Linked DNA regions of Mus musculus. The main gene of each other region encodes a partner of the protein of the gene in region 4 in a complex. Links are inferred from orthologs where the notes say so. Each region holds a gene or a part of one and is shown on either strand. Other genes may lie near its edges. The genes, in order: Taf3, Taf8, Taf10, Taf6, Taf7, Taf13 and Tbp.

Evidence for each region.
Region 1: Taf6 (region 4) and Taf3 share a complex: the UniProt entries of both Homo sapiens proteins name them as parts of the TFIID basal transcription factor complex. The link is inferred for Mus musculus from reciprocal best matches to the Homo sapiens genes TAF6 and TAF3.
Region 2: Taf6 (region 4) and Taf8 share a complex: the UniProt entries of both Homo sapiens proteins name them as parts of the TFIID basal transcription factor complex. The link is inferred for Mus musculus from reciprocal best matches to the Homo sapiens genes TAF6 and TAF8.
Region 3: Taf6 (region 4) and Taf10 share a complex: the UniProt entries of both Homo sapiens proteins name them as parts of the TFIID basal transcription factor complex. The link is inferred for Mus musculus from reciprocal best matches to the Homo sapiens genes TAF6 and TAF10.
Region 5: Taf6 (region 4) and Taf7 share a complex: the UniProt entries of both Homo sapiens proteins name them as parts of the TFIID basal transcription factor complex. The link is inferred for Mus musculus from reciprocal best matches to the Homo sapiens genes TAF6 and TAF7.
Region 6: Taf6 (region 4) and Taf13 share a complex: the UniProt entries of both Homo sapiens proteins name them as parts of the TFIID basal transcription factor complex. The link is inferred for Mus musculus from reciprocal best matches to the Homo sapiens genes TAF6 and TAF13.
Region 7: Taf6 (region 4) and Tbp share a complex: the UniProt entries of both Homo sapiens proteins name them as parts of the TFIID basal transcription factor complex. The link is inferred for Mus musculus from reciprocal best matches to the Homo sapiens genes TAF6 and TBP.

The regions. Positions count from the first base shown.
Region 1 is NC_000068.7:10,045,810-10,050,016, forward strand, and holds the start of Taf3 (transcription initiation factor TFIID subunit 3), read right to left. Parts: upstream 2,801-4,207; 5' UTR 2,592-2,800; coding exon 2,426-2,591; intron 1-2,425. UniProt on the Homo sapiens protein: The TFIID basal transcription factor complex plays a major role in the initiation of RNA polymerase II (Pol II)-dependent transcription.
Region 2 is NC_000083.6:47,495,792-47,499,291, forward strand, and holds part of Taf8 (transcription initiation factor TFIID subunit 8), read right to left. Parts: intron 2,848-3,500; coding exon 2,749-2,847; intron 2,450-2,748; coding exon 2,387-2,449; intron 912-2,386; coding exon 787-911; intron 1-786. UniProt on the Homo sapiens protein: The TFIID basal transcription factor complex plays a major role in the initiation of RNA polymerase II (Pol II)-dependent transcription.
Region 3 is NC_000073.6:105,742,394-105,745,693, forward strand, and holds Taf10 (transcription initiation factor TFIID subunit 10), read right to left. Parts: upstream 1,946-3,300; 5' UTR 1,926-1,945; coding exon 1,694-1,925; intron 1,592-1,693; coding exon 1,437-1,591; intron 1,100-1,436; coding exon 1,035-1,099; intron 948-1,034; coding exon 833-947; intron 671-832; coding exon 581-670; 3' UTR 501-580; downstream 1-500. Other genes in the region: Ilk (integrin-linked protein kinase), read left to right, coding at 120-269. UniProt on the Homo sapiens protein: The TFIID basal transcription factor complex plays a major role in the initiation of RNA polymerase II (Pol II)-dependent transcription.
Region 4 is NC_000071.6:138,184,427-138,188,590, forward strand, and holds the start of Taf6 (transcription initiation factor TFIID subunit 6), read right to left. Parts: upstream 2,801-4,164; 5' UTR 2,744-2,800; exon of another isoform or gene 2,536-2,743; intron 122-2,535; 5' UTR 62-121; coding exon 1-61. Other genes in the region: Cnpy4 (protein canopy homolog 4 precursor), read left to right, coding at 3,159-3,294. UniProt on the Homo sapiens protein: The TFIID basal transcription factor complex plays a major role in the initiation of RNA polymerase II (Pol II)-dependent transcription.
Region 5 is NC_000084.6:37,641,405-37,645,576, forward strand, and holds the start of Taf7 (transcription initiation factor TFIID subunit 7), read right to left. Parts: upstream 2,801-4,172; 5' UTR 2,541-2,800; intron 2,129-2,540; 5' UTR 2,109-2,128; coding exon 1,083-2,108; 3' UTR 1-1,082. UniProt on the Homo sapiens protein: The TFIID basal transcription factor complex plays a major role in the initiation of RNA polymerase II (Pol II)-dependent transcription.
Region 6 is NC_000069.6:108,570,291-108,574,498, reverse strand, and holds the start of Taf13 (transcription initiation factor TFIID subunit 13), read right to left. Parts: upstream 2,801-4,208; 5' UTR 2,778-2,800; coding exon 2,751-2,777; intron 1,620-2,750; coding exon 1,541-1,619; intron 1-1,540. UniProt on the Homo sapiens protein: The TFIID basal transcription factor complex plays a major role in the initiation of RNA polymerase II (Pol II)-dependent transcription.
Region 7 is NC_000083.6:15,498,453-15,502,687, reverse strand, and holds the start of Tbp (TATA-box-binding protein), read right to left. Parts: upstream 2,801-4,235; 5' UTR 2,664-2,800; intron 1-2,663. UniProt on the Homo sapiens protein: The TFIID basal transcription factor complex plays a major role in the initiation of RNA polymerase II (Pol II)-dependent transcription.

The DNA.
Region 1 (4,207 bases), on a different chromosome or scaffold from region 4:
ATCATATTCTCATTAAAAAAAAGAGCGAAAAGGAAGAGAAGAAAACTGACTAGAAAAAGATGGGTAATTATAAAAAGTTTCATACTGGACAGTGGCAGCACGTATCTTTAATCCCAGCATTCAGGAGGCAGAGACAAGCAGATCTCTGTGAATTCAAGGACAGCCTGGTCTACAGAGAGAGTTACAGGACAGCCTGGGATATGAAAAAACCACCACCAAAAAAAACAAAAAACAAAAACCAACCAACCAAACAAACAAACAAACAAAAAAAACCCCAAAACTCTGTCTCAAAAAAACAAAAGAAAAGGCCAGGGAATGGAGGGGAAAGGGTTCATGATAAATGTGATGGCCCACACCTTTAATCCCAGCACTCATGAGGCAGAGGCAGGCGTCTGGTCTACATACTGAGCTCTAGGATAACCAGGGCTATGAAGAGAGACCATGTCTCAAACATAAACATAAAATAAAATGGGGGGCGGGGGGAGGAGGGAAGAGAGGAGAGAGAGGGGAATGAAGAGGTTCTCAGTAAAGCACAATGAGTTCTTGGACACTTTGGAATGCTTGAATCCATGAACTACCTGGCATGGAAGGTAACTATGTATTCAGGGGATATTTTCAGAACCCAAAAGGTATACATCTGCCTTTAGTTCAGGAACTAGGTAACAAAATATAATCTATCTTAAACATAATAGTAACAATATACTGAAGGTCAATGGAGAAGGGGCTTGAAGGTAAGGAAGCAACAGCTAGACGATCATTCTACCACCACACACGTTAAATCAAGCACTCAAAAAGATGTGCATTTTAGGAATTCATTCACTAAGTCTTTTGTGGACTACCCATTAATTTACTAGCCAACTGTTTCCTATTTGGAACAACCCTAGGGTGACACAAATCAGGATGCTCCAATCAGTTAGCACAGTAGGTACTAGAGTAATACAAATACAATCAAGGGTGCTCCAATCAGCACATTAGGTACTTACGCAGAATATGAATATAATCAATTTATCTTCTGGGTCAGGGTACACATATACACAAACAATTACAAAATAAGATAAATAGGATCTGATTTGTTGGGGTTTCATTATTTTGTTAGGAATGGCATTTGGAGTCTTGAAGGTATGGCGAATCTATAGGCCCTCACTTTAAAAGTAGGAACCACTGTAGCAGAACAAATTACTCTATAAAACACTTCATTTAGTTATCCAACTTGCCACCTTAAACGTCATATCTTGGAATTTAAATGAACGTTATAATCCCCGCCCCCCCCCACACACACACACACTCATACATCAGTAAAAATCACACATCTATAAAATGATCTGTACCTTCTACAAATCATTAAATACCACCGGGTAAAGACACTACTGGGCATTCACTTAAAAGTCAATACACTGTCCCCAGATTCTATGTCTCAAGTTCCTCCCGTGGGGCTGGCTTCTAGTTGTGGGGACATCCCATAAGTAGTTTCAAGAGGGAAACTGGGTATTACTTGGCCACCAGGATTCAGCCCTAGTTTCAACTGCAGTCCTCCATGTGGGACCGTCCCCACTCTCCTAGAACACACCTGAAAGGGCTGGAGCCCTGAAGAGGGGCAACACGGAGGACTGTGCTATCTTTACTCACTCCCAAAACATACACAGGAGCCTTTAATCTCATTAAAGAGACATGAACCAGAAAAAAAAAAGTTAATACATACTGCGACACTGAGTACCCGGAAAACCTCCCAAATTACCGAGTGATGCTTCCCATCACACTTAGATCAACACTAACAGAAGAGCATAGAGGAAGGACGCCGTGCGTAACTGAGATGCTTATTGAAAGGTATTCAGCGAAATCGACAAAACCTGCCTTGAAAAGTAGTAGGCGAAGTCTGTGAAACGAACAGATAGAGAGGGGAGAAAAAAAAAAAAAAAAGGCAGCGACCCTGACTGAGCGGAGCTGTCAACGAGTCTATTTGGGAGCTCAGGAATGGCCAGCCTTGTAAGAAACGGCCGGTAGACGGAGCGCCTGTGACAACTAGTTGTAGTAGTTTGCGAGCAAGGGAGGCAAAAGACCAAGGTGAGCGAGGTGGAGAGCATTCTGGGGGTGGCTCTGGCCGCAGCCGACCCGAGACAATGAGAGAGACCGAAGCACTGGTCCAGGAGCAGCATCGGTGAGAGGGTGTGTGGCTGCGAGCCGGGACCCCGCTTCCCTGCCGGTGGCGGGAAGTTAGCGGATGAGGAAGAGGCACCTAAGGGATGACTGGAGTTCGCAGGAGACGGTGGAAGCCCCCCAGACGGTCGGAGTCTGAGAGGATCCCCATGTCGAAGCCGGCTTCGGAACGCCACCCCTGCAGGGGATGCCCAAAGGGGTCCGGAGGGGCAAAGGTGTCACTCGTGACCGGCTTGGGGCAGCCCTCCCGCAACCCAGCCCCAGTACTCACAGAGTTCAGAGTACCGATGGCAGCCCCGGCCCAGCTGCTGCAGATAGCGCTGCAGGACGTCGGTGAGGAGGTGGCAGGCGCTGAGCTGCACCGAGTCCCAGCCCAGCGCCTGGCAGATCTGCGCCACCGAGACCCTCAACAACGACCTAGAGTAACTCTCGCACATCCCGCTGCGTGGACGCCACCGCAGCCCTTCGCTGCCACTGCTCTCCAGCCCTGCCGCCTCGCCTCAGCAGAGCCCCCGATTCATTCTCTGGGGGCCCCGCGGCGGGGAAATCGTCCCCCCTCCGACCCGGAGCGACCACCTCAAAGCCTCAGCAGCACGGAGCGCGCCAGCCTGAGAGCCGCCATTTTGGACTCGCTCCGCCTCCCGCTGGACGGCCGCCGGGGCGAGGCAGTACGAGCAGAAGGCCGAGAGATAGGCGGCCCAGGCTCCGCCCAGTGGGAGGAGAGCGATCGTCTCGGGATCGACTCTAGAGCCTGGACGCCGGCCGGAAGCCGAGTGACTGGGCGCAGGTGGAGTCTGCGCCTCCCTGACAACAGGTGCCGGTGTCTTTCTCTCCCCGCTGATGGAAAAGTAAGAGGTGACCCTCGGTGTGTTCAGGGGCAAACCAGGGAGGCAGTGGAATGTTAAGGACTTAACATCGATAATGTTGATAGAGATTCAAGTGTGAAACTAGAGAATTGGGAATATAAGCTACTCCGCAGAACGCGGATTCGATTGTTTTCCTTTACTTAAATCTAAAAAAGTAAAAACGAAATTAAAAGATGAAAGATAGTATTCAGAATGAAATAGTGGCCACTTGGGAGGTTTGAGTGAAATCCAAGATGTTCACTCAGGAGGCTGAGGCAATCATAAGCTAGAGGCCAACTAGAGTCACCGAAAAACCGAAAAAGACTCCGGCTCTAAAAAAAACAATCAGAGCTAATAAACTCATGTTGTTCATTGTGTCGTTCAATGCTCTTCATAATATGGCTGGTTTTAAGGAAAAATGCCTACGTGTTCAATTAGTGGGAACTGCCCCCCTCTTCCCCAGTAGTGAGCAAGATATTATTTTAGTGCAGTTTATAGCTAGTTCTAGTTTGCGTCTTACTAGTCACAATACGTAGTCTATCCAAGACGTGGAGAATGCAGTTCCCTACAGAGGTCGAATACTCTGTAAATCCTTGAGACTGGTTTTGTCCAGAGAATGCTTGCTTGCCTTTCCCAGGGCTTCTTCCAGCCCTAGTTGCATTTTGCCTGACGGTAACAGAAACTGTGATGAGATGATAAATAGGTTTGGTTGAAATAGTGGGTTGTCCCGTCCGTCCATCCCGTCGTCCGCCCCCGCCCGCCCCCCCCCCCCCGTGAGTCTCAATCTTGTTATGTTGCAACATCTGCCCTTAGACTTTTGGGACTGAAGTGAGCCTCCACAGTAACTGGCACTTTGGGCAACTGCTGGTAGACCCTGATTAATAATCCCAGTGCTGGGCAGGCAGAGGGAGGCAGATACCTGAGTTCAAGGCCAGCCTGGTCTACAGAGCTAGTTACAGAACAGGAAAAAAAGTTTCAAATTAAAGCCAAACCAATCCCAGTGACTACTGAGTTAAACCAAACCTACTTCGGCTATATTTAACTACTCCATTTCTTAGTTGTGCCTGCCATATCTACCATTGACTATTCAGTATATAAGTTTATGTGCCCTCTCCAATAAATTGTTTCTAGGCAGCTGTGATGGCTAGTCTCAGTTGTCAACTTTAGTACATCTGGAATCAACTAAACCCCAAATGACTGGGCACACT
Region 2 (3,500 bases), on a different chromosome or scaffold from region 4:
CAACATGGTGGCTCACAACCATTCGTAATGAGATCTGACACCCTCTTCTGGTGTGTCTGAAGACAGCTACAGTGTACTTGCATATAATAATAATAAATAAATAATATATAATAAATAATGTAATAAATAAATCTTTTGGGCTGGTGAGATGGCTCAGTGTGTAAGAGCCCCAGCTGATCTTCTGAAGGTCCTGAGTTCAAATCCCAGCAACCACATAGTGGCTCACAACCATCCGTAAGGAGATCTGACTCCCTCTTCTGGAGTGTCTGAGGACATATAATTACATATAATAAATAAATAAATAAATAAATCTTTAAAAAACAAATCTTAAAAAAAAAAAAAAAAAGAAGCTACAGTGTACTCACCAACATAAAATAAATAACTTTAAAATGGCACTGGCCATTCTTTCAGAGGACCTGGGCTCAATTCCCAGCACCCACATCCAATTCTAGGTGATCCAACGACACACACACAGATGAAACCCTCACACACATAAAACCTCTCAAATAAACCCTAACTCTTCCTGGCCAGGTTGCTTTACTCTGTGCTTCCTCCCCTTCTGTCTCTCTTTGTGAGACAACATCTCACTCTGTACTTCAGGCTGGCCTCAAATGCACAGCAACTCTTCAGCCTCAGCCTTCCAAGGGCTATGATGAAAGGGGTAATTGCATATCAAGATGGCATCCCCGTAGGAAAGTCCTCAGGGAGCTGAAGGTTACTCTCCCCTGCAACCTCCATCAGTCATGTTTCACACACGCACAGGCCCTGGGCAGCTCCCAAACTCACCGGAGTTTTGATGTAGGTGTGGGGATCCGGAAACTCAGGAAAATGGCTGGGGATGTGTGGCGGGTGGGGCCGGTTCTGCCCTGCAGTGAGGGCCTTGGGGGTCACTGGCTGATTGGTCACTGGAGCTGCAACAGATCGCAACTAGTTAATGTCTCCAACCCTGCTTGATATTTCAATCTGTGACAAGCTGCTTCTCTCTGCGGCTGTGGGGATGGCTCAGTGGGGAAACGGGCTTGTCACCAAGCCACTCTCTAAGAGGCACATGGTGGAGGGAGACAGGCAACTCCACAACGTTGTCCTCAACGTTGTCCTCACCTCCACCCACATGCCGCGGCATGAGCATGCACACACGTACAGATACGAGTACAGCCAGGAGGTTGTGCTGCACGCCTCTATCCCCAGCACTCAGGACACAGTGGCGAGCAGATCCCTCAGTTCGAGGCCAGCCTGGTCTACAGAGTGAGTTCCAGGACAGCGAAGGCTACAGAAAGAAATCCTGTACCTGTACCAAACCAAACATAAACAAGTTTCCCCCTCAAGTCCTAACACTAAAGCAGTTACTCCCTACTTAGCATAAGGGACCCACTTTTTTGGGGGGGGGGGGTTTAAGATTTATTTATTTATTTATTATATGTAAGTACACTGTAGCTGTCCTCAGACACTCCAGAAGAGGGAGTCAGATCTCGTTACGGATGGCTGTGAGAGCCACCATGTGGTTGCTGGGATTTGAACTCCTGACCTTCGGAAGAGCAGTCGGGTGCTTTTACCCACTGAGCCATCTCACCAGCCCCTTTTTTTTGTTTTTTTTTTTTGAGACAGGGTTTCTCTGTAGTCCTGGCTGTCCTGGAACTCACTCTGTAGACCAGGCTGGCCTCAAACTCAGAAATTCGCCTGCTTCTGCCTCCCAAGTGCTGGGATTAAAGGCGTGCACTACCACGCCCGGCAGGGACCCACTTTTATCTAAAGCAGACTAAATAAATCTTTTTATATAAAAGGATACATGATAAGTATTTTAGATTTTTGTTTGCTTCTTTTTTGAGCCCAAGTCCACCTGTGTAGCTCAGGCTAGCGTAGCCCTCCCTATCTACAGTACACTAGAATTCTAGAGCACCCCCACCTCCTCACAAGTACTAGGATTACAGGCGCATCCACGAAATAGCAACAGTTCAGATTAAGCAAACCGAAAACCTCTGCCTTTGCCACGTGAAAGCAATCACATACGGTGAGTAAATAAGCTGTATGCCAAGAAACTGTTACTAACAAAAGCAAGCACACTTTGTCCACAGACCCCAGCCCTTGCAAACCCTCATCTAGAGAAGCAAGAACTGTCACAGTTTTTTGTATGGTCATTTGCTCTTCGGGGCTAAAATGTAACAGCAGCAGCTCAGACATGGTGCAGCTGCCTGGAGACTGACCTTCACAGTTTAATCCCACTGCATGGACACAGCCAGTCTGTGAGCAGCTCACCACTCCAAGGACTGGGAGGGAGGGAGCCCACAGCAGGAAAACAGCTGCCTCTCTGGTGCCTGCCCTCTCCTCCCTCCAAGGCACACTACAATCACTGAGTACGTACTAAGTATCAGAGTTCAAAGCCACTTACGTGCAGTGATGACCATCCTCTGAGACCGTTTTGCATAGGCAGGTAGAGTGTCAACATTGAAGCCTAGGGACAAGAAAACTAGTCATTGCCATGTTCTGATCCTGGCGTGATACTGAACAGGAAAGGGGAGCTATCAGTGTGGAATGGGGACTTAAATCCCAGCTTAGCCACTCTTCTGCCTCTCAAGAGAACTCCCACAGGGACTTGGGAGGTCTCTGAGACAGGGTCCAAGGACTCCTTCCTCATACCTTTCTAACTAAAAGCAGATCAGGGGAAATAGGATGGAATTAAGACTCAGCAGACATGGAAACCCCCCCAGGCTTCCCCGTTCTCTGGTGATCCTACAACGGAGATACACTTACCCATTTCAACCAATGTGACCACGATGTCCGACAGTGTGGGCTGGGTCCTGGCTGTGTGCTCACAGTATGACTTAGCACTTCTCCCGATTTCTGAGATGTCTACAAGGATCAAAGGCCAGAGTTTCTCCAAAGTTCAAAATAAGATTACCAGGTGGGCCACCAGTTATGCTATATATATATATATATATATATATATATATATATATATATATGTGTGTGTGTGTGTGTATGTGTGTGTGTATGTACATATATATATATATATATATATATATATATATATATATATACACTTATTTATTTATTTATATGCCCAAGTGACCAAAGGCAGGGCTCAAACAGGCACTTGTGTGCATTCACACACAGCAGCACAGATTCTGTTGCAGGATATTTGTTCATACTGTGAACCTTGAGATTGTGGTGTTTACTAGAAAAACCTGTTTCTAGTTGTGGTGTGGCTTAGCCCTAGCACACACCTTTAATCCCAAACAATGAAGATAAAGTTAGTTTGTAGAAGGAAGCACCCATGTTCTAATTGAGTGGCAGACAAAGTGATGAATCAGAGAAAGGTTTGACAAAATAGGATCTGCCCAACCCTCATGAGGAGAGAGAGGAAAGGGAAGCTACTTCAGGGGTAGTGCAGAGAAAGAGGAAGGGAGGTCGTTTTCGTGGGACAGTTATACAGAGAACAAGCTAGACACAGGTGAAGACAGAACGAGCTAGAGGACAAGGAGCCAGAGGATTAGACAGATTGC
Region 3 (3,300 bases), on a different chromosome or scaffold from region 4:
GTAAGCGCTTCCAGCAGTTTATACAGATAAATAGTAATCTTACCATTCAAGGATCAAAGGCTTTTACCCATATGATGAACTCAAATTCTGAAGCTCACCTTATTCCTTGTAATTTGCAGGTGGCACTGGAAGGCCTTCGGCCTACCATCCCACCAGGTATTTCCCCCCATGTGTGTAAGCTCATGAAGATTTGCATGAATGAAGACCCTGCAAAGCGACCCAAGTTTGACATGATTGTGCCTATCTTGGAGAAGATGCAGGACAAGTAGGACCTTCAGGTCCTTGCCCAAACTCCAGAAGTGTCAAAACATGGCTGGGGGAGTACACTTCTCCAAAGTTAAAGACCTCTGGTTGCCTCCCCTGTCTCTAATCATGGTACTACCCCAGTTATGGGACTTGTTCCCTGCTCCCATCCCTACCACTGTAGCCCCAAAAGGGGCTGGGCTCAGAGCTTTGTCACTTGCCACATGATGTCTCCCAACATGGGAGGGATCAGCCCCGCCTGTCACAATAAAGTTTATTATGAAAACAGGCTCGTGTGGGGACAGAGGGAAAGACAAATACATCTGGGTTGCGTGGCTCAGGTGAAGTAGTGCGGCTTCTTCACATTGATGCCATACTCGCTGAGGGCAGGGGTCAAGTCCTCCATGGTTAGGGTGTACTTGCGATCCTGGGGGAAAGAGGGAAGACCACCAGCTGAGCACAAGTGCAGACTCCAATCCTTTGTGGGTGACCCTGAGCAGGCCCAATACCTCCCCTAGGATTCTGCTTCCCCAAAAGGCTTTCAGGATAAGTTAGGCCTGTACTGCAGTGGAAGGTGAGCCTCTCACACCTTGCTCTTGCTCCGGGAGCTGCCAGAGGCTGTGCCCTTCATTTTGCAGTGCTGTAGGGCATCATTGGCAATATCTGAGATGAATTTCTGGGCAGCTAGTGAGATGAGCCGAATTCTAGAGAGGAAGAGGGTGGTAGTAATGAGAATATTTAGCAAACTCCACCTAGCACTCAACAGTCTAACCTGCTCCGAGTTTACTCACATGCGTGGGTCTGAAGCTTCAAAGCCAGCGCGGTTCAGGTAGTAACCAGTCACTGCATCTGGGATCTGAAAAATCAAATTAAACAGCCATCAGTGTTAGATCTGCCTATTGATGCGCTGGCTGGGACGGAGGACTAAAGAGATAGCTTCATGCCAGGCAGTGGTGGCACACGCCTTTAATCCCAGCACCTGGGAGGCAGAGGCAGGCGGATTTCTGAGTTCAAAGCCAGCCTGGTCTACAAAGTGAGTTCCAGGACAGCCAGGGCTACACAGAGAAACCCTGTCGCGAAAAAACAAACAACAAAAGAGATGGCTTCATAGCAGAGAAAGCTTGAAAGAACGAAGGTGTGGTTCAAAGGCATTGACAGCGAGCCAGGTGGCCTTGTTCAGGTGGGAAGCGCACCGTAGGTGTGTAATCCTCCAACTGCATCAAGAAGTCCACTAGAGGTGTGCTGGACACTACGGGCTTCACTTCTCCGTTGGCCGCGCTCGGTAGGGCGTAAACCCCGTTAGACATTGCCCCCTCCGGGGGAGCCGCGCCGCCCGCTGCCACCGAAGCTGAAGGAGAATCAACAGCACAGGTGAGAGGCGCAGGGTTCCCCTGCCCCGGCACCTAGTCCGAGATGCCCTCCTCCCTCACCCGGCCCGGCCCTCCCTCACCTGGCCCGCGCCGCTCTGCCGGCTCCCCTGCCCGTGCCGCCACGGGGCCCGTGCCCGCAGTGGCGACTCCAGCCACGGGGCCCCCTGCTGTCCCCGCGGGGCTGGCCTTGCTCTCCGCGGCCGTGCTAGTGGGCAGCGCAGCGGGAGCCGACACCAGGGGTGCCGGACCCGCGACCGAGGCGGCACAGGCGGTCGCCGCCTCGGGGTCCGCGCCGGAGCCGCTGCAGCTCATGGGGCCGGTGGGAAAGGCGGCGAACAGAGCCGCTTCCGCTTCCGCTCGCCCAGGCGCACGCTGCGTGACGTTACAGTTCCCGCCCACCACTCTAAGCTGCCGCGGGCGACCTTAGGTTGGCTGTTAGTGGATGAGGTGTAGACTTCAAGGCGGAGGCGAGCTGTGTGAGATGTGGCTGCCACCCTGCGGTTCCACCCCGGCCCGGGTGGGGCCGCAGAGCATCCAGGACTGAATACTTTATCTGGGTTCGTTCAACGACCTGGCTTGGGGACTCATCTGCCAGACACTTCATTACCAGTCTCCTGACGGTCTTCATGCATTCTTTGTAGTTCCCTTTCATGGTCTTTTAAGGGTTGCAGTGGATTTGATGTGTGTCCCTCCCACCCACAACGGGCTTAGGAGAGTACCTCTGTAAATGTAGAGATGGGTGTTTTACCCTGAAGAAATAGCATGCCAAAGTCTTGTGTGAAACACATTTACAATACAACAGACTTTTTTTTTAAACAGTCATTTATTTAATTTCTATTTGGGCTGGGACCTAGGAATACAAAGTTAAGAATCAGATTCTAGTTCACTAGCACCGACTGTCTGGAAAAGGAAGGCAAACAAACTGACAATTTCAATACTGTATGATTGTTTCCCAGCTACATGTAGGTGCAGTGCAAAGAAGAAAGGGAAACTAACATTCATTGCTTAATTCCAAGTGTGAGACATTAGCAATGTTTATTTCCCGATTTTGAAGGCAAGTTTCAATGTCTCTGACTTTTACCCAGTAATCTTTGAAGGGTTTGCACAAATACATAGACTGCTTGGTTTGGAAGATGAGGGGCTTCGGAAGCCTTTCCTCTCCCCAAGTGCTTCCTGCAGTTTAGAAGAAAAAAGAACATGGGCTCAAAGATAATGCAGTATTTTGTGCATGTGTGTGTGTGCACATATGTGTATTTTTGAGACATGGTCTGACTATGTAGGCCTGGCTTGTCTGGAACTCTTTATATAGACCAGGATGGCCTCAAACTCAGAGACTTGCCTGGCCTCTGTCTCCTGAGTGCTGGGATTAAAGGTGTGCATCACCACACTAGCCGATAAAGATATACTTGAGAGGCAGTCAAGAAAACTTTTTGAAGTTAGTAAGGAGGTGAAAAAGATGAGAGTTAAGAGTTATAGGTTTCTGGCTTGTTTGAAAGAGGCATTATATCATAGATTAAGAGATGAAATAGTTTAGGTCTGGGCTGGAGGGAGATGAAGTAACGAGGTATCTCACATTTGAGGTATCACTCACTGTGGGTATAGATGTCAGTGATCTGTCAAGGGATGATAATAAAATGATAAGAGCAAGAAACTAAGAATGGAACAATGAACACAGCATCCCTGGAGT
Region 4 (4,164 bases):
CCTTCATGGACTCAGAGGGCAACACAGTATTGCTGAGTTTCAGTTTCTTCTCCTCGGCCATGCTGGAATTCCAGCTCCTGTCCCTGGAAGGATGCCTCCCCAGGATGGAAAGATGGAGATCCTGATAGTGGGGTGGGGTAAGATAAAAAGGAAAAATAATTCAAACCCTACATCTGAGTTCCTTCCTTCCTTCCTTGCAGCTCACCCTCAAAGCAAAGCTACCAAACAACAGCTTGGCCTGTCCTTTCTCCTTTTAGACACAGGGGCTCACTATGCAGCCGTGACACTTCTAATTCTAGCCTCCTGCTTCTGCCTTTCAAGTACTGGGATTACAGGCATGTATTAACATGCCCAGTGACAATTTTGTTTGTTTGCTCTTAGTTTTGTGTACAGGATTTCTGTAGCCACACCTTAAACTCTGTAATGAAAGCTAGCCTTGACTCTGGATTCTTTTGCTTCTACCTTCCTAGTTCTAGGATTACAGACATGTACCTCTACAGTTTTGTGGTCTGGGAAATACTCTAACAACTGAGCTACATCTCCAGACCAGTTTGTCCCCTGTCCTTCCACCCCAAGGCTGTGTAACCCCAGCTGACCTGGAACTTGCTCTGTAGACCAGGCTGGCCTCAAAGTCAGTGATCTGGCTGCCTCTGTCTCTTGGATGATAGGATTAAAGGCGTGTACCACCACTGCCTGGCTCAGGCTTTTTTTTTTTTTTTTTTTTTTAAATAGGGCCTCTGTAGCCTAGGCTAGTCTCTTACTCCATATGTGGCTGAGAATGGCCCTGAACTCCGGGTACTTTCCAAGTGCTGGGACTATAGGCGTGCATCACCACATCCGGCACAAGTCATTCTTATATGGACGCTTAAATCAAATCCACCAGGCTGGAAGATGTGGTTCAGTAGTAAGGTACTTAGCATGCACATGGGCCTGGGTTTGATTCCCAGCAGAACTTTAAAACTTACCAGGCAGCCCAACCCGACCCTTTTTGGCCCAGATGATTATCACCTATTCATCTGCTGAACTCAGTCGCTGGACAAGGTGTTCCTATTTCCATCTTGGCTTTTTTTGTGCGTTTGTTTCTTAAAACCAAAGTGGTCTGTCAAAATATAAACTAGGTAACTATTTCTTTCCTATAACGACTCCCCTTGCCTCCTGTCCAGGTGTAGGGGTTAACACTTCTAATTTCAGTGGACTGCCTTGGGTTTCATGTCAGGCTTCAGAGTGTACATGCTGTACACCCATATTCCCAGTACCCTGGAGGCTAAAGTGGGGACAGCAAGTTTGAGGCCATCCCGACTCTGCAATAAGTTCCTGTCTAAGATGGTTTCTTTCTTTTCTCTCATATCTCTGATCACCTGCCCCGCCCCCTCCCACTTTACCCTGACATCATTCTCCTTGCTGTCCTTTAAATCTGACAGACATGTACTTGGCTTTATAGCTTTTGTTGTGTTCTTCCTAAACGTGTTTGGCTGACTACCTGACCCCACCCACCTCTCTTTAGGGGCAGGTCTCCTATAGCCCCACTGGCTTCAAATTCACTAGGTAGACAACACTGGTCCTTTGGCCTCTACCTCCCAAGTACTGGGATTGCAAGCACATACCACCATGCCTGGCTTTACCTGTTTGCTATGTTTTCTTCTTCTTCTTAATAATAGTGATATAATATGTATATATATAAAATCACTCTAGATTAAATCTAAGACCTTCCACATGTTAAACAACCCTTCTACAATTGGGTCTCAGGCTCGTCTGGAATTCATCCCGTGGTCTTGATTTGGAGAGCCTCCTGCCTTTTACAGCTGTTTACCACCAAGCCTGGCTATTATTTCTTCTTGTTTATTATCCTTACCCCACCAGTAAACAAGAATATGTCTGTTATGTTCACTGACCTATCTGGTGCCTAGGGCATTGTTAAATATATGAATAAGTCTTTTTTTTTCTTTTTTTCTTTCCTTTTTTTGGTTTTTCGAGACAGGGTTTCTCTGTATAGCTCTGGCTGTCCTGGAACTAACTTTGTAGACCAGGCTGGTCTAGAACTCAGAAATCCGCCCGCCTCTGCCTCCCAAGTGCTGGGATTAAAGGCGTGAGCCACCACTGCCCAGCATGAATAAGGTGTAAGTGTTCACTAAATACTTGGTATAACAATTACCAAAATGAAAAAGACACAGACTCAAGCTTGGAGTTTACTCTGTGGTTAAAAGGAAAGGAGCTTGCCTGACACTGGACATGAAACCAACCTCAAGAGTGTTCAGAACTGAGTGCTAGGGACTGGTTCTTTTCATTCCAAGTCTTCTCAGACTTTTGTTAAATCTTGTCTACAGGAAATACAATTATTCAGCACATACTCTGTACCTGGTCGGGTCCCAGTCCTCTGTGGTGGTACCCTTGCCACTAAGGTTTCATAAAACACTCTAGCAGCCTCGGGAGTTTCTCAGATCAGTGGAAGCGACAGGAAGACTTCTTAGAGAAGGGATAACTTGAGCTATATCTTTACATCATTTTTCTCAGCTAGGGAAGTGATTCGAAGATTACCCGGGCAGCGCTACAGGAGGTTCACAAGCCACTACATCGCCCCACCATCCTTCCAGTGCAGTCACGCACAGGGTCCCCACGAGCACGGACACACAACCAACCGTCTTCTTCCCAGTCCTCACATGGGCCCTTTCAAAGGGTCTCCTCACGGATACACCTCAGACTTTCCCCCGCCAGCCAAGCACCGGGAGCAGTAAAAGCCTCTCACCGCTGCCAAAGCGCCGCTCACCCGGCGCTCGGCGCCATCTTGGCCCCGCCCCCTGACAGGAGTAGGTCCTGGCAGAAGCCAAAAAGTTATCACTGTTCTTCCCTATGTCAAAATAGACCATATCGTTTCACAGTCTGAAATTATATAAAAATTTCATTCTACGTGCATGTGTAAAGATCATATTACTCTATTCTAATTACTTCAATTTGTATCTTCATTACCCAGCTGTCAGGACCTTCAGAAGGCGCCACAAAACTGAGCCATCACGCTCCACCCACTTTCGGGCTGGCTCTGAGCATGCGCTGACCGTTCTATGATTTTTTTTTTTTTTTTTTTAAAGCTTGCTGCGGGCTTCGCCTAAATTTAAAGGGCCCGCTGCCTTCCAGAAGTTGGTCTGAAGGCAAAGGGTGGTTGTATGTGTGGACTGCGTTTTATCATGGGACCTGTGCGGCTGGAGATACTGCTTTTCATCCTGGCAGCGTACGGTGCTTGGGCTGAGGCGACAAAAGAGGAGGAAGATGACACAGAACGTTTGCCCAGCAAATGCGAAGGTACAGAAACGGAGTAGTTGCTATTTACATCTCCCTATCTACCTCCTGCCTCTCTAACTCTAGGCTGAATCAAATGGGCTAGGATAGATGGATCACTAGACTGTCTTGAAAGAGGTTCTGTTGGAGCTTGGTAACACTTGAATGGGAACAAGGGAGGGAAAGCAGGGTTAAGGTGGCACTACATTTCCCAGGTGGCATCCAGAAGGATCTAGGTTTTTCTTGCGGGCTTGGGCCCCAATGTATTGTGGGAATTGTAGTTCAAGAACCTGTAACGCTGGCTCTATGGAGCATCTTCCTCAGTCGTTTCTCTCCTTGTTAAAAATCTGGACAATCTGCATGGGTGGGGTGTAATACTCATTCCTTATAGGCATACTGAGTCCCGCCCTGGCAGAGACGCTCTTAAATTACAGGCCTGATGGCCCCCTTTAGGGGTTTTAAAGGTGAGTAAGTCCCCAGCTGAAGTTCATAAAGAGAAGATGAAGACACCACACCACTTAGAAGTTGCCCATCGGTGTGAGGCTTTGCAGATGGGGTGCACTGTAGGGATTTTACAACAAGCAGCATGGCCTCTGGCTACATTAGTAAATGCCCTCCCCCCAACCACCCCTCCCATCCCCAACAGGGAGGAAGCCAGGTCACTGAATAAATATCCTGTGGCTCCCTAACTCTAACTTTTTCTTTGGATTCATTATTGCTTCACTTTACACCCAACAACATGTTTTTATCATTGACACCCATGACTTGATTCTAATCTCTCACTTATTTTTGCATCTGTGTCCCCACTCTTCTGAGTCGGGGTGGGGGTGGAGACAGGGTTTCTCTTTATAGCTCTGGCTGTCCTGGAACTTGCCTGTAGACCAGACTGGTCTC
Region 5 (4,172 bases), on a different chromosome or scaffold from region 4:
CAGACTAGTTAGGGCTTCAGAGGCTCTGGCAGCCGTCAACAGCAATACAGAAGGCAAGTTCTCAATGAAAGGGGCCAGATGACTTCCATTCTGAATTCATACTTAGTTTGCCTAGGGGCAGCTTTTTAGTATTTAAAAAAACACACAGAATTTTTCTCTGTATATGAAATTTTAAAATCCCAGACCAGGACACAGGTTTTCATACTGGGAAATACTAATGAAACAATATGAATAAACATCAGTCTATTAAATAATTGTAGCAGTTAAATTGGCAATAGTTAAAATATAATCTTAATCTAAGCATGTGGAATAGTTTATCTGATAACTGCTTCCAATATTTTACAGATAACCTTAGTGCTTAAGAAAAAGATACAGATATCCATCCATAAAAACTAGGATAGTTTAAGAAGGCTCTAGACCCAGTGTTCATAAACCTCCAGATGAAGTGGGTGGACCTGAACCTTAATATATAATGCAACAATGAATTTCTCCATTTCCTTACCTGGTGCTTTCCTTTTCCTAAAAACAAAAGAACAGGATTTATCTTGATCTACACCATTCAGTCATTAAACTCCATGAACCACCTCAACTTTCAGTATTCATAGAACAACATCATAAACAGTGAAAATTAGTAGCTTTTATTGTATAAGAAACAACCTTTATGAAAAACTTGCATTTCTGTAACATGGAAACTTGCTGAGGTAAAAAAAAATATATTTCTTTTAAAAGAAATTAACTTCACTGCCTGTAGGCTAGCTTATTACTGATCTTAGCACCAAAAAAAAAAAAAAAAAGGACTAGAAACTTTTAGGAAACAAATTGTAATAAAGTCCTGTGATTAAAAGTTCAAGTGTTTTCATTTCACTCATCTTTCTTATATCTTCCCTACAACAAACCTGTCTATGTAATCCTATTTTCTTAAGAATGAAAACCCACCACCATAGTTCTGAAAAACAATCAAAAAATTTTCAACAAAACTCAGGGAATAAGAACATTTCAAAGAAAAAAAAAGTATTTCAAGACCTTACTCTGAAAATAATTTTTTCTTGAGCTGACTAGTCTAAGGACTAAAGTCAACAAGCTCACTTCTCCAGAAGTGATTCCAGCTCTTCCTGCAAAGAGCTAAGCTGCTCCTTTTCGCGGTCTTCTTTTTGTTTGAGCTCATCCAGAACTGCCTGAAACCTGTTCTTGAGAGCCAGGTTTTCTACCTTCATAATGAGATCTTCCTGGCGCTTTGCCCTGTCTTGGGTTTCTTGGAGCTTGCCTTTCATGTTATCTATCTGCTTCTGAATTCCCATAACCAACTGATTGGTTCCTTCATTTTCTTGGTGTTGCTCGTCGGATTCATTTAGCTTGTCTTGTAGCTGTCTCTCCAGATCTTCCTCAGTGTCAAGGATGTTTACGTCTTCTTCATCTTCACTGCTGCTGCTGAGGTCATTGAATATCTCTCGAAGCTCATCATGCTCTAGTGAGTCATGGCCTTGCCTGTGGCCAGACATTCCTGGAGAAGAGATGTCCAGGCCTTGATTTTCTGTCTCCTTTGTTTCATCTTCAGCAATTATCTCCCAACGAGTACTGACAGCTTCTGCATCTGTACTCAGCAGACGCTTGACTTCTTTTTCCACATCCGGAGATTCAATGTACTTCTTCTTTGCTGTCTTCCGGAACCGTCTCTTTCTGACATTTTTTAGAGGTAGAGTAATTCCATGGTTCCAAACAAACTTTTTCTCTTTGTCCTTATCTTTTTTCTTGTTTGCTTTGGGATCAGCAGTGGCAGCTGCCTCCTCCACAGGAGGGTATAGGTCACCATCTACTGTGGCTACAAGCATCTGAGAGATATCAGCTGTCTTGTAAAAGGTTTTCTTATCGATGGTTTTCAAGCTTTCCGTAACACAAGGCAAATCGACCAATTTTGCAGCCAAGGGCACTCGATCCACTCTGACAATGCCGTGACGCCCATCAGGGTGTAACTCAATGCTCAGTTTGTCTTTCAGGTTGACATGCCCAGACTGCACTGCCCTCCTCACCGTAGCGGCATATTCTGGGGGCAGTCGTAAGATAAACTGGCTCTCTAGCTCATGAGGCGCATCGTCTTTGTTCTTACTCATCTTTAATTCCTTGTGAGCTCCTACAACAATTAAAGGGGGGGGGCAATGTCATTAAGTAGAATTTTAAATTCGTAATTACCAAGTTCCAAGGAAAACAGCAACAAAAGTGGAACGCAAGCTAGTGCCTATTTTGTCTTAATTTTTTAATTAAGTCCCAAGTCTAGTCTTTAAACTTTTAAACTTTGGCACTGTCCCTGTTAAACTCACTCGTCTGCTAGATGCAGTATCATATTAGAGCCTCTAAAAGACGCTGCTGATAACCTGAACAGCAAAAGAAACGGCAGCGACTGAGGGGTTTTAGGCACAGACCGTCAGTCTAGTCTGGCAGACAACCCCGATCCACAGATTCTCTCCAATAAGATATAAAATAAAAGTATTAAAGAAAAAGAATAAGTAAAGGGAGTGAACGAACTCTTCGACTCCGGTACTTACAGTTCACCAGCGACTGTGAACTTAGCTTTTCGCGGCTTGAGCAAAGCAGCAGGGAGCGGTGCGTCCGCCTTCCGGTTTCTTGGCGTTCTCGGCCGCCCGGCAGGGCGACCTATGCGCTAACAATGAGACGGCTAAGGACCCGCGGCGCGAAAGCTCCCTCTCAGAGAACCGAACACCGGAGACAACTTTCCCACGTCTCCTCTCACTGAAGAAAACGAAAGTGCTCCGTCAGAGCGGAAGCAGACGCGGCGCTACGTCACAGACCGGAAGCAGACACGGAGGGGCTGGCCGCCGCTCTTCCGGAAGTACTAGCGGCGCGCGCAGGCGCACTTCGTAATTACGTCGTTCCGTGACTACGTCTTCTCGTGAGAACTTGCCCTGTATAGGCTGTTTCCAGAAAAGCTTTGCTTTGGAAATGCAAGATGGAGATTCCAAAAAAGTAAAACATAAACTTACCCCGTAAGACAGCACTTTACGAAGTCGCGGGTCGGGACAGTTTCTAGAGTGATTACCAGAGATAAAGGTCGTCCCTGCAGAAAGCATCTTTACTTCCCAGGGCGTACCCAGTCGGCCTCCGCTAAAACATTGGAAACAACACAAAGTAAAAGTGGCCCAAACAGTGAAATGATACAGTATTGCTGTTCACTCTCTAACGCGAAAAATCATGCTTATTGCCTTGAAAGGAACTAAGCCTTTGGCTTCATTTGTGTTTTTGGATCCAGAGGACCAGGTGTGATATGTATGATACGATATTTTGGTAATATGTCAGATAGCTATAACTGTAAACAAATGTTTTTATGATGACGCAGGTTCATTTAGAACAGAATTGTCTGAAACACAAACGGTCTGATTTTGTTGTGGAATGTCCACCAAAGAACGCTGTTCAGACACAGGTTTAAGCCAACAAATATTAACTAGCCAGTGACTACACTGGGTGTTCTGGATCCCAGTTGGCCCTGAGACTTTGTCATGGTGAGCTTTTAAGCACAAACAAATGTCCTGCATTGGCATACTTTTATTACAAGAACCATAAGCTAGAGACTGACCTACAGAAGCCAAAAAGCAAGGCTGGTACATTTAGAGACTTTCCCAGAACTATGAAGTTTGATAAATTAGGTCTTTATTATTTATTTTGCTCATTGATACTGTCTGTATTAGTTAGGGTTCTCTAGGGTCACAGAACTTGTGGAATGCCTATATATTAAGGGAATTTATTGTAATGATTTGCAGTCTGTAGTCCAGCCACCCAACAATGGGCAGCTCTAAATGGGAAGTCCCAAGAGGCTACTTTGTTTCACCTGGTCTTCTGTATCCTGAAGACGTAGGTAGCAGCAGATGTGCTGGCAAATAAGTGCAAGCAGGCAAAGAGTGAGTCTTCCTTCTTCCAATGTCCTGCAGCAGAGTGTTCTGCCCAGATTAAAGGTGTGGACCACCACTCATGGATCTGGAACCTGATTTGTCCAAATCTGGCTTTGAAATAAGAGATCTGCTTGCCTCAGTCTCCTGGGATTAAAGGTGTATACTACCTTGCATGGACCTAAGCTTTTTATGGCCACTATGCCTCAAGATCTTCATGTAGATTCCAGCCTCAAGACCTGAATCATTGGTGTGCCCTCCATTTCTGGATTGTGG
Region 6 (4,208 bases), on a different chromosome or scaffold from region 4:
ACCCTGTCCAAAACAAAAAACAAAAACAAAACAAACAAACAAAAAAAACCCCAGCAAAAATAGAAGAGACATGAAGATTCTATTAAGTCAGTGGGAGAAGCCTGCGAAGATTCCAAATTTTTGTCATCACAAAAGTAGAGCAGTTGAAACTGAACTAAAGGTTTGGACAAGCAGCAGGGTGAATACCATTCCTAGAGCACTTTAGTGTAAGGGTCGTTTTCATATGTCCACATAAGGAGTAAAACCACACACAAATCACGTAACTAGCATCAGTGAGACAGAATGGGAAGTGGTCAGACTTGAACGAAACTGGAAGGTACTAGTGAGGATTTCTGTTATGGTTGTAAGATACAGCCGAAGTTGCCTTCAAACTCAATGAGGAAGACCCTGAACTCAAATTCTCCCATCCCTATCTCTCCCAAGAGCTGGGATCAAAAAAGATTTAGAGAGTTAAAGGCTGATCTTGCAGTTTCTAGAATTTTTCAATCCTACTGTACTCAGGCATTTATAAATCTCTGCCGCTGTACTTCCCAAGGCTCAGCCAAGGAGCCTGGGAGAAGGGATGGAGAGTGCAGTCTCATGGGCCTTTCAGGAATTAGTATGGGCACAACAAGTGGACACCGCTCACCCTGCGCTGCCCCAAGGGCTACCTGTCTGTTTAAGGAGCACCATGGAAGGCTAGTGCACTGTCATCTCCACAGCACACTTCACCACCTTCTTGCCCTGAGCTATGCCTTAGTCCAAAGCCTCAACTTACATCATTTGAAAGGTGGACACAAGAGGGATACAACGTTCAAAATGTCAACTGGGAGCCATGGCATATGCCTGTACATCTAGAGCCAGGGAAACAGATAGGAGAGCAGAAGTTCAAGGTTCTTGCAAGGTTCTTGCAAGTTCAAGGTTATACGCATATGCATACCAAGTTTGAAATCATGCTGGGATCTAAAAACCCTGCCTCAGCTGGGTGGTGGTGGTTCACAGCTTTAATCCCAGCACCCAGGAGGCAGAGGCAGGCAGGCACATCTCTGTGAGTTCAAGACTAGCAGATCTTGATCTATTCTAAACTCCAGAAAGAGTTCTAGGACAGCCAGGGCTACACAGAAAAACCAAGCCTCAAAAAAGGAAAAGAAAAACAAAAACAAACAAAACAAAAAAACCCTGCCTCAAGGAGGAGGGCAGAGGTGATCACATTCATTATTTTATGTCACACAGAGAGAATTAGTAGACATGAGAGAGACTTATACTGACCATGGGATGCACACCTGCAATCCCAGGACTTGAGAGGCTAAAGCAGGACTACCACCAAACCAAGGCTAGCATGGGCTAAACAGTAAGCACCAGTATAGCCTTGGCTATACAGAGCCTATCTTTAAAACAAACAAACAAACAAACAAACACCAAGAATAAAAACAGGCAACCTTATAGGCAACTCTGAGAACACTGTCCCTATAAACAAACATATGCAGAACAATATACTCTGAAAAGACATGTTCAAAAGCTTTCACCACCTGTAATAAAAACACTAGAAAGTACAACTTACATTCTTTCGAGAAAAGTCTCTTTCTCTTCCCCTGGCCACCTTCCGCTCCTCCTCCAATTTCTTCATTCTCCTCCTCAAACTAGAAATTTTAAAACACGGACATGGCAAATGATTGCAGTGCACGTGATATTCCCTCGAGTCTCCTCCTGCTCGCCCTCTTTGTGGAGTGCTGTGAATTGAACCCACGAGCTCACGATGCTAAACAGATGCTTGACCACTGAGCTACACCTCCTGCACTCTTTTCATCTTTTTTTTTAAAGGCATTTATTATTTATGTGTATTGTGTGCCTACATAAATGTGCCTGCTGTTGCCCATAGAGGCCAAACTAGGTCTAATCGCTGTAGGTTGCCAGATGTGACAGCAAATGCTCCTAAGCACTAAAGCTATCTCTCTACACTTTTTTTTTTTTTTTTTTTGAGACAAAGTGGTCTCACTATGTGCCCGTGTCTGCCTGAACTCACGGAGATCCGCTTGCCTCTGCTCCTGAGTGCTGGGATTAAAGGTGTGCGCCACCACGCCCAGTGACCCTTTTTCATTTTCGAAAGTGAGAAGCTAAAGCAAACTGCACAAAACCACGAAAATTTAGCACCAAAGGGCTCATAAGCCCTAGTCCAATTCTCAAGTCGTGCAAGAAGGCTTTTATTACGGCTGCTAACAACCTTACAACCGTGCGTGTGTAAAGTTCTAACGACCTCAGGTTCTGGGTTTGGTTTTAGCCAATTTAGTTGTCACACTGCTAAGCAAGACTACTGTAAAAACCTGGTAGTTTAAAATCTACTCTCTGCTGTCATCGGAAGCAACTGATAAAGGGCTAAGAACTTTCCTTAACTGGGCTGGACTCTACCTCACAAGAAAACCGATGCCAAAGGAGAATTTGGATCCCAAGCTTCCTGTCTTTAGTTCATCGTTTCTCCGCTATCTTCACTAGTTTTGTCAGCATCTGGGCTGCTGGTTCCGCTTTAATCAGCTTTGATCTCCTATGACCCTCTAGATGTCTTAGTGTCGGGAAGATCCAGGTCAAAGAGAGACCCTTTCTACTCTTCCTTCCCGTCTTGTCCCACGCACTGACTAAGGTAAACCAAAAAAGGAAAACACCGCGGAGCCCCCGGACTCTCGGCGGGAATCCCTAAGGCACAAGCGGGTCAGACTCTGCCTCCGCTAGTGATCCGAAAGGAGTGAGGAACCAGGCTGAGACAGGCGCTCACTCACGGTGGGGTCTTCCTCCTCATCTGCCATGCTAGCTGCTCGCCAGCCTTCTGAACCCGCCCACCGGCGGCTGGCGAGTTTTATAAGATACGTACGTCACTTCCGGCCTGGCCAGCGTTGCGCAGAGAGGCGTGCGCGTTCATTCTCCTACCCAACCCCGGCCTTGGGATTGGCTGGAAGTCAGTGACGTGCTCTTACGTGTGGAATCCTGAAGGAGGAATTAAAAATTACAAAGAAGCCAGGCGTGGTATACTACGCCGGGAAATCTCTGCACTTGGCAGGCAGAGGCAAGAGGGCTTCGAGTTCGAGATCAGCTCAAGTTTCATGAGCCCATGTCTCAGAAAACATAAGTGATAAATTTGTGCATACTTACGGAGGCTCACAAATGCCTGTAAAAATAGGATGACTTTTTGCCTCTGGGGCTGATCCACTCAAGTACACAAGCCCCATGATATTATATATAGTATCTATATTATTATATAATTATATATCTACTTTCTTTTATGTAAATAGGTGTTTTGCCGGCAAGTATGTGTACCATGTGTGTGCAGCACCAAAGAAGCCAAAATAGAGCAACCGATTTCCTGGAACTAGAGATAGACGATTGTGAACCGCTATATAGGGGCTAGGAATCAAACTCAAGTCTCTTGAAAAGCAGCCAATACTCTTAACCACGGAGCAATCTTTCCTGCCTCCGTTAATACGCAATATATATATGTAGTTTGGGTTGGAAGGTTGTTTTGCGCTTTTTTTTTTTTTTTTTTTTGGTTTTTTCAAGACAGGGTATCTCTGTGTAGCCCTGGCTATCCTGGAACTCACTCTGTAGATCAGGCCGGCCTCGTTCTCAGAAATCCGCTTGCCTCTGCCTCCCAAGTGGTGGGACTAAAGGCGTGCGCCACCACTGCCCGGCCGTTTTTTGCTTCTTCTTCTTTTTTTTTTTTTTAAATTACAAAAGATGTGCTAGAGAAATGGTTCAGTCAATAAAAGCTCTAGCGGAATAAGCCTAAGGCTCAGGTTCAATCCCTGGGACCTGTATAAAAAGTGAAAGGTGAGAAGACAGAGTCTGCAAGGTTGTCCTCTGGCTTCCATACACAATAATAAGAAAATATTTTAAAATTATGAAAGAGCTAAGTGTAGTGGCACTCGCCTTTAATCCCTGCCTTGGGAGGCAGAAGCCAGAAGATCTCTTTGAGTTAGAGGCCAGCCAGGGCTACATAGTCAAAACAAGAAAACCAAAGCTCGGCAGTGGTGGTCCATGCTTTTTGTCCCAGCACTTGGGAGGCAGAGGCAGGCGGATTTCTGAGTTCAAGGCCAGCCTGGTCTACAGAGTGAGTTCTAGGACAGCCAAGGCTACACAGAGAAACCCTGTCTCGAAAAACCAAACCAAACAAACAAATAAACAAAAAGCAGAGACATTAAATATATCAGAAAGATGGCAACACAGAAAAGGTGGAAATAGGG
Region 7 (4,235 bases), on a different chromosome or scaffold from region 4:
GGCTGGCAAGAAACGGTGCATCAGGCAAAGGCGTTTGCTGCTAATCCTAATATTGTGCATTTATCCAAATGGTGAAAGGAGAGAACAAACTCTCACAGCCAATTCTTCACATAAATGTAATTCATTTTATATGTGTATTTTGTCTACATATATGCCTGTACATCACTTTCATGCCTTGGTGCCTTCCGAGGCCAGAAGAGAAGGTCAGATGCCCTGGAATTGAGCTACCATGGGGTCATATGTATCCTTAAAATAAACATGGGTCTTTGGATATACAACTTGTAACTTTGAAACCTGTGTGTTCTTTGTGAATTTAGACAATAAATATTTAGATTAAGATAAAATTGTAGCCAGGCAGTGGTGGCCTTTAATCTCAGCACTTGGGAGGCAGAGTCAGGCGGATTTCTGAGTTCAAGGCCAGCCTGATCTACAGAGTGAGTTCCAGGAAGGCCAGGGCTACACAGAGACACCCTGTCTCAAAAAAACAAAACAAACAAACAAACAAACAAAAATCAAATTTAGGGTGTGAGAGATGGCTCCAACCTGGTTCTCTAGAAGAGTTGGCAGTGCTCGTAACCTCTGAGCCATCTCTCACAGCATCAGGGGCCAGCCCTTTGTACAACCTCCACCCTCACTTCCCACCCCCCACCCCCCAGCAAAGGACTTGAGGTTGGGGGAAAGAATTCCTAAACAAACTATACTGTTAGAAGAGAACACTTATCGGCATGATTTGCACAGTCTATTAGGTCACTTCTTGATTTTAAATATGCTGCTCAGTTTTATACCATTCACAATACCTCAAGCATAAAGCGCCATACATATTGAACTGGACACAATATGCTTTAGGTAGTTGTTTGTGTTTCAATTAAAGGCAGACTAAACAAAAGATGAAACATTATCTCATCAGAGCATATTAATGAAAACTATGCCTAGAACTGGGTTTCTTTAATCATCATCTCTTTCGAGGTCATGGACATGAAATATGAATAAAGACTAAGAGACTATGAAATGTGTTGTTTTTCCTTTGTAATGGTAGTAGTGATAGAACCCAGATCCTCCTAAATGGTAGGCAAAGGCCCACCCTCAATTTTTTAAAGATGCTTAAAAAAAAAAAAAAAAAAAAAAAACTGCAGGCATTTACTAAGCAAGGCAAAATGTTGAAAAGCTGAAACCTAGGACAGGACTTGGCATTTGTGCTCATGAATGGATGCTATGGAAGAGAGAATACAAACTAAAGTCAAGGGGCTAGAGAGCTGTTCTGCGATTAAGAGCACTGTTGCTCTTCAGAGGGACTGGGTTTGATTATCTTAGCACCCACATGGCTACTCACAACTAGCTGTAAATCCAGTCCTGGGGAGTCCAATGCTCTCTTTTGTCTTCCATGGGCCCGGACAAGCATGTGGTGCACATATAGACAGATAAGCAAAACATTCACATATGTAAATCTTTTAAAAAGTTAAGAAAGACATAACTAAAGTCAAGTACCTTCTGAGAGGCCGGAACTCGCACAAAGCAGGGGCAATGTAACACAGGTCTAGCAAAAGGAGCAAAAGGAACAAAACAACACAAATCAGCACTCTAGGTGCAGCACAAATCACAGAAGGGAAAGGGGGGGACAAAGCCTTGGAAGAGCATGCAGTGTGTGACAGGCTCAGTATGTAAAGTCACTACAAAAGATGACAAAGCAGCTGTAGGTGGGGTTGCATAATTCAGAATGTAAGATGTCATTACACAGGCAATGGAAACAGTTAAGGATTTTAAGGTGCAGTTTGAGTATCTCCTGTGTCAAAGAGCAGATAAATCTGAGAAAATTGAAGACTGAAAATTCAATTTCAATCACTGCTTTGGTTGAGGAAAAAAAAAAAAGTTGGATTTCATGTCCAAAGTATAACCAGTTATTTATCCAGATCTCTTTCTGCAAACGAAGTTTACTGAACGCTTGATTATATAGACTGGGGAATTTGTTGTACGCTTCGCAGAAGTCATTTCACACCTGCAGACGATATAAACCACCTTTTCTCGTCTGCAATCTTAAAATCGCAATAATCGCTGCACAAACTTATTTTTAGGCTGTTTTCTGGGTTTTCATCTTTTGGAAACTGAGCCATCAAACTGAGTATTTGGGAAACCGATTCCGCACAGTCTTCAAGCGTCTGCCTAACCGGTCCGGCATCTTTTTCCAGAGAAGCCTACCCGGAGTTTTGGAAAACCACCTTAACTTGAGGCTAAAGACCGACAGTGTGTAAATAAAGCAGCATGCGTTTTTATGTTAATCTCGATTAGCTTGACTCTCAGGCTTCTGGCGAGATGCTGAGTCTCGAGAACCGCTTCCTAACAGAATTATTCTTACTGGGGACAAAACGGGCGGCTGCAGGCCTGGGTAAAACTCTCCCACCGGGGGAAGCGGCTGAGACGTGCGGTGCGCGGGGCTGTCCGGTGCCAGCCCCTCGGAGACGCTCACCCTTGGTACTGGGTTTCAGGACCCCGCCGAGGCGATGGTCCAGAGACTGGTTACTCGCGGAGCCGCCGCAGCGCGCGCGGAGGACCGTTCCCAGCCCGGCCGCGCGCCCACTCGCGTCTCCTCCGGCAAACTCCGGGGACCCGCTGCAGAAGTCGCCTTTATTAAGGCCTCCAAGCAGAGAAAAGGATGAAAGGACCGTTACCTGGGCACTGCGGAGAAAATGACGCGACCGCAGAAACCTAGCCAAACCGCCAGCAGATACCCGCCACCGCTACCGGACTCGATCCACCGAACGCCTGACGCACATCTGATGCCGTCACTTCCGCCAGTTGCGCTCTTGACTGCAGTCCGATTTGTTGTGCTTAAGCTGTGAGACACTGGGAAGGAAACGAGCGGGCCGGGTACCAGCAGTTCCGGGGCGGGGCCTCCGACGGCCCTTTCTAGCTGTCAAAGAGAGATCTATTGAGTGTGTAGCGGAAACAGTTGGGGATGTGGCAATGGCGATCAAGCCCAAGCAAGCGTTCTACCACTGAACTACATCCTCAGTCTTCCATGATTTGTTTTTGTGAGAAAGAGTTTCTCTGTGTAGCCCCGACTTTCTTGGGACTCACTCTGTAGAACTGGCTGGCTTCGAACTCCAGAGATTGCTTGGCAAGCTTACTGGCTCCTCCCCTTTGAGATTTGTGAGGTGGCTAAGGAAAATGTCAAGCAAACGCTCCTCATCATGTTCTCAGTAGATGTTAACTTACGTTCAAGGAAGAACAACAAAACAAGCGACTTTGTAGTCACAGATTCATTTCTATTTTTAGCTCGGTCACTACCAGCTCTCTTCCTTGCTGCCACAAGAAAACGTCAGCTGTTTCTTAGGCTGCTTCATAATGCTTGATTGATTCCAACATATCTTAATTTTTTTTTCCTTCTGAAGTTCATCTAAGGCATATACATGTGTTGTTCTGCGTACTTCCTTTCCCTTGTATTTTGCATTATCAACGAGGTAATGAGCTCCTTTAGGTTAAGGTTAGCGCTCTCTCTCTCTCTCTTTCTCTCTGTGTGTGTGTCTGTGTGTGTGATGGACAGTATCTGTGTGTTATGTGTGTAGGTGTTGTATAGGTTGTCTATTTACACAGACTCTAATAAGTACAATAGTACTGTGTATCTATTTTCCCCTAAAGGAAACATTTTCTCTTGAAAGTACAGGAAACCTCAGAAGACTGGGGAATTGAGAAAACTTAACAAAGGCTTGTCAAGAGGCAATATAAGGGAAGCGGGTTTTATGTTGTCTTACTGTTTGAGGAGATACAACCCAGGGGGAAGCATGCCAACTGGATTGCATCCACAGACCAGAAACATAAATAGATAAATGTTAGTTCGCTTCTTCTTTATTTAGTCGGGAAATCCAGGCAATGAGGTGGCGCCGCTTATATTTTAGTTGGGTCTTCGCTCCTCAATTAAACCTTGAAACACCCGCATAGACGCATCCATGGGTTTTACCTACATGATGCTAAGTTCTGTGAAATTAACAATATTAACCATCATATTCTGGCTAAAGAAATCTGGTATTGCTTCCTGGGTCTCGTGGCTGCGTACACCACACAGTTGACATGCGTCCTGATTGGCCTTGAATGCAGCATGAACTACTAACCCGTCTCAAACGCTGTGCCACTTCGCCAATGTGACATCCGAGTTGTCGTTGCTCTGTAATTGGGTTAATTTTTTTGGTATGGTCAGACTTTTAATTTTCTATCCGCCATGAGTAAATCCAAACGTTTTCTTA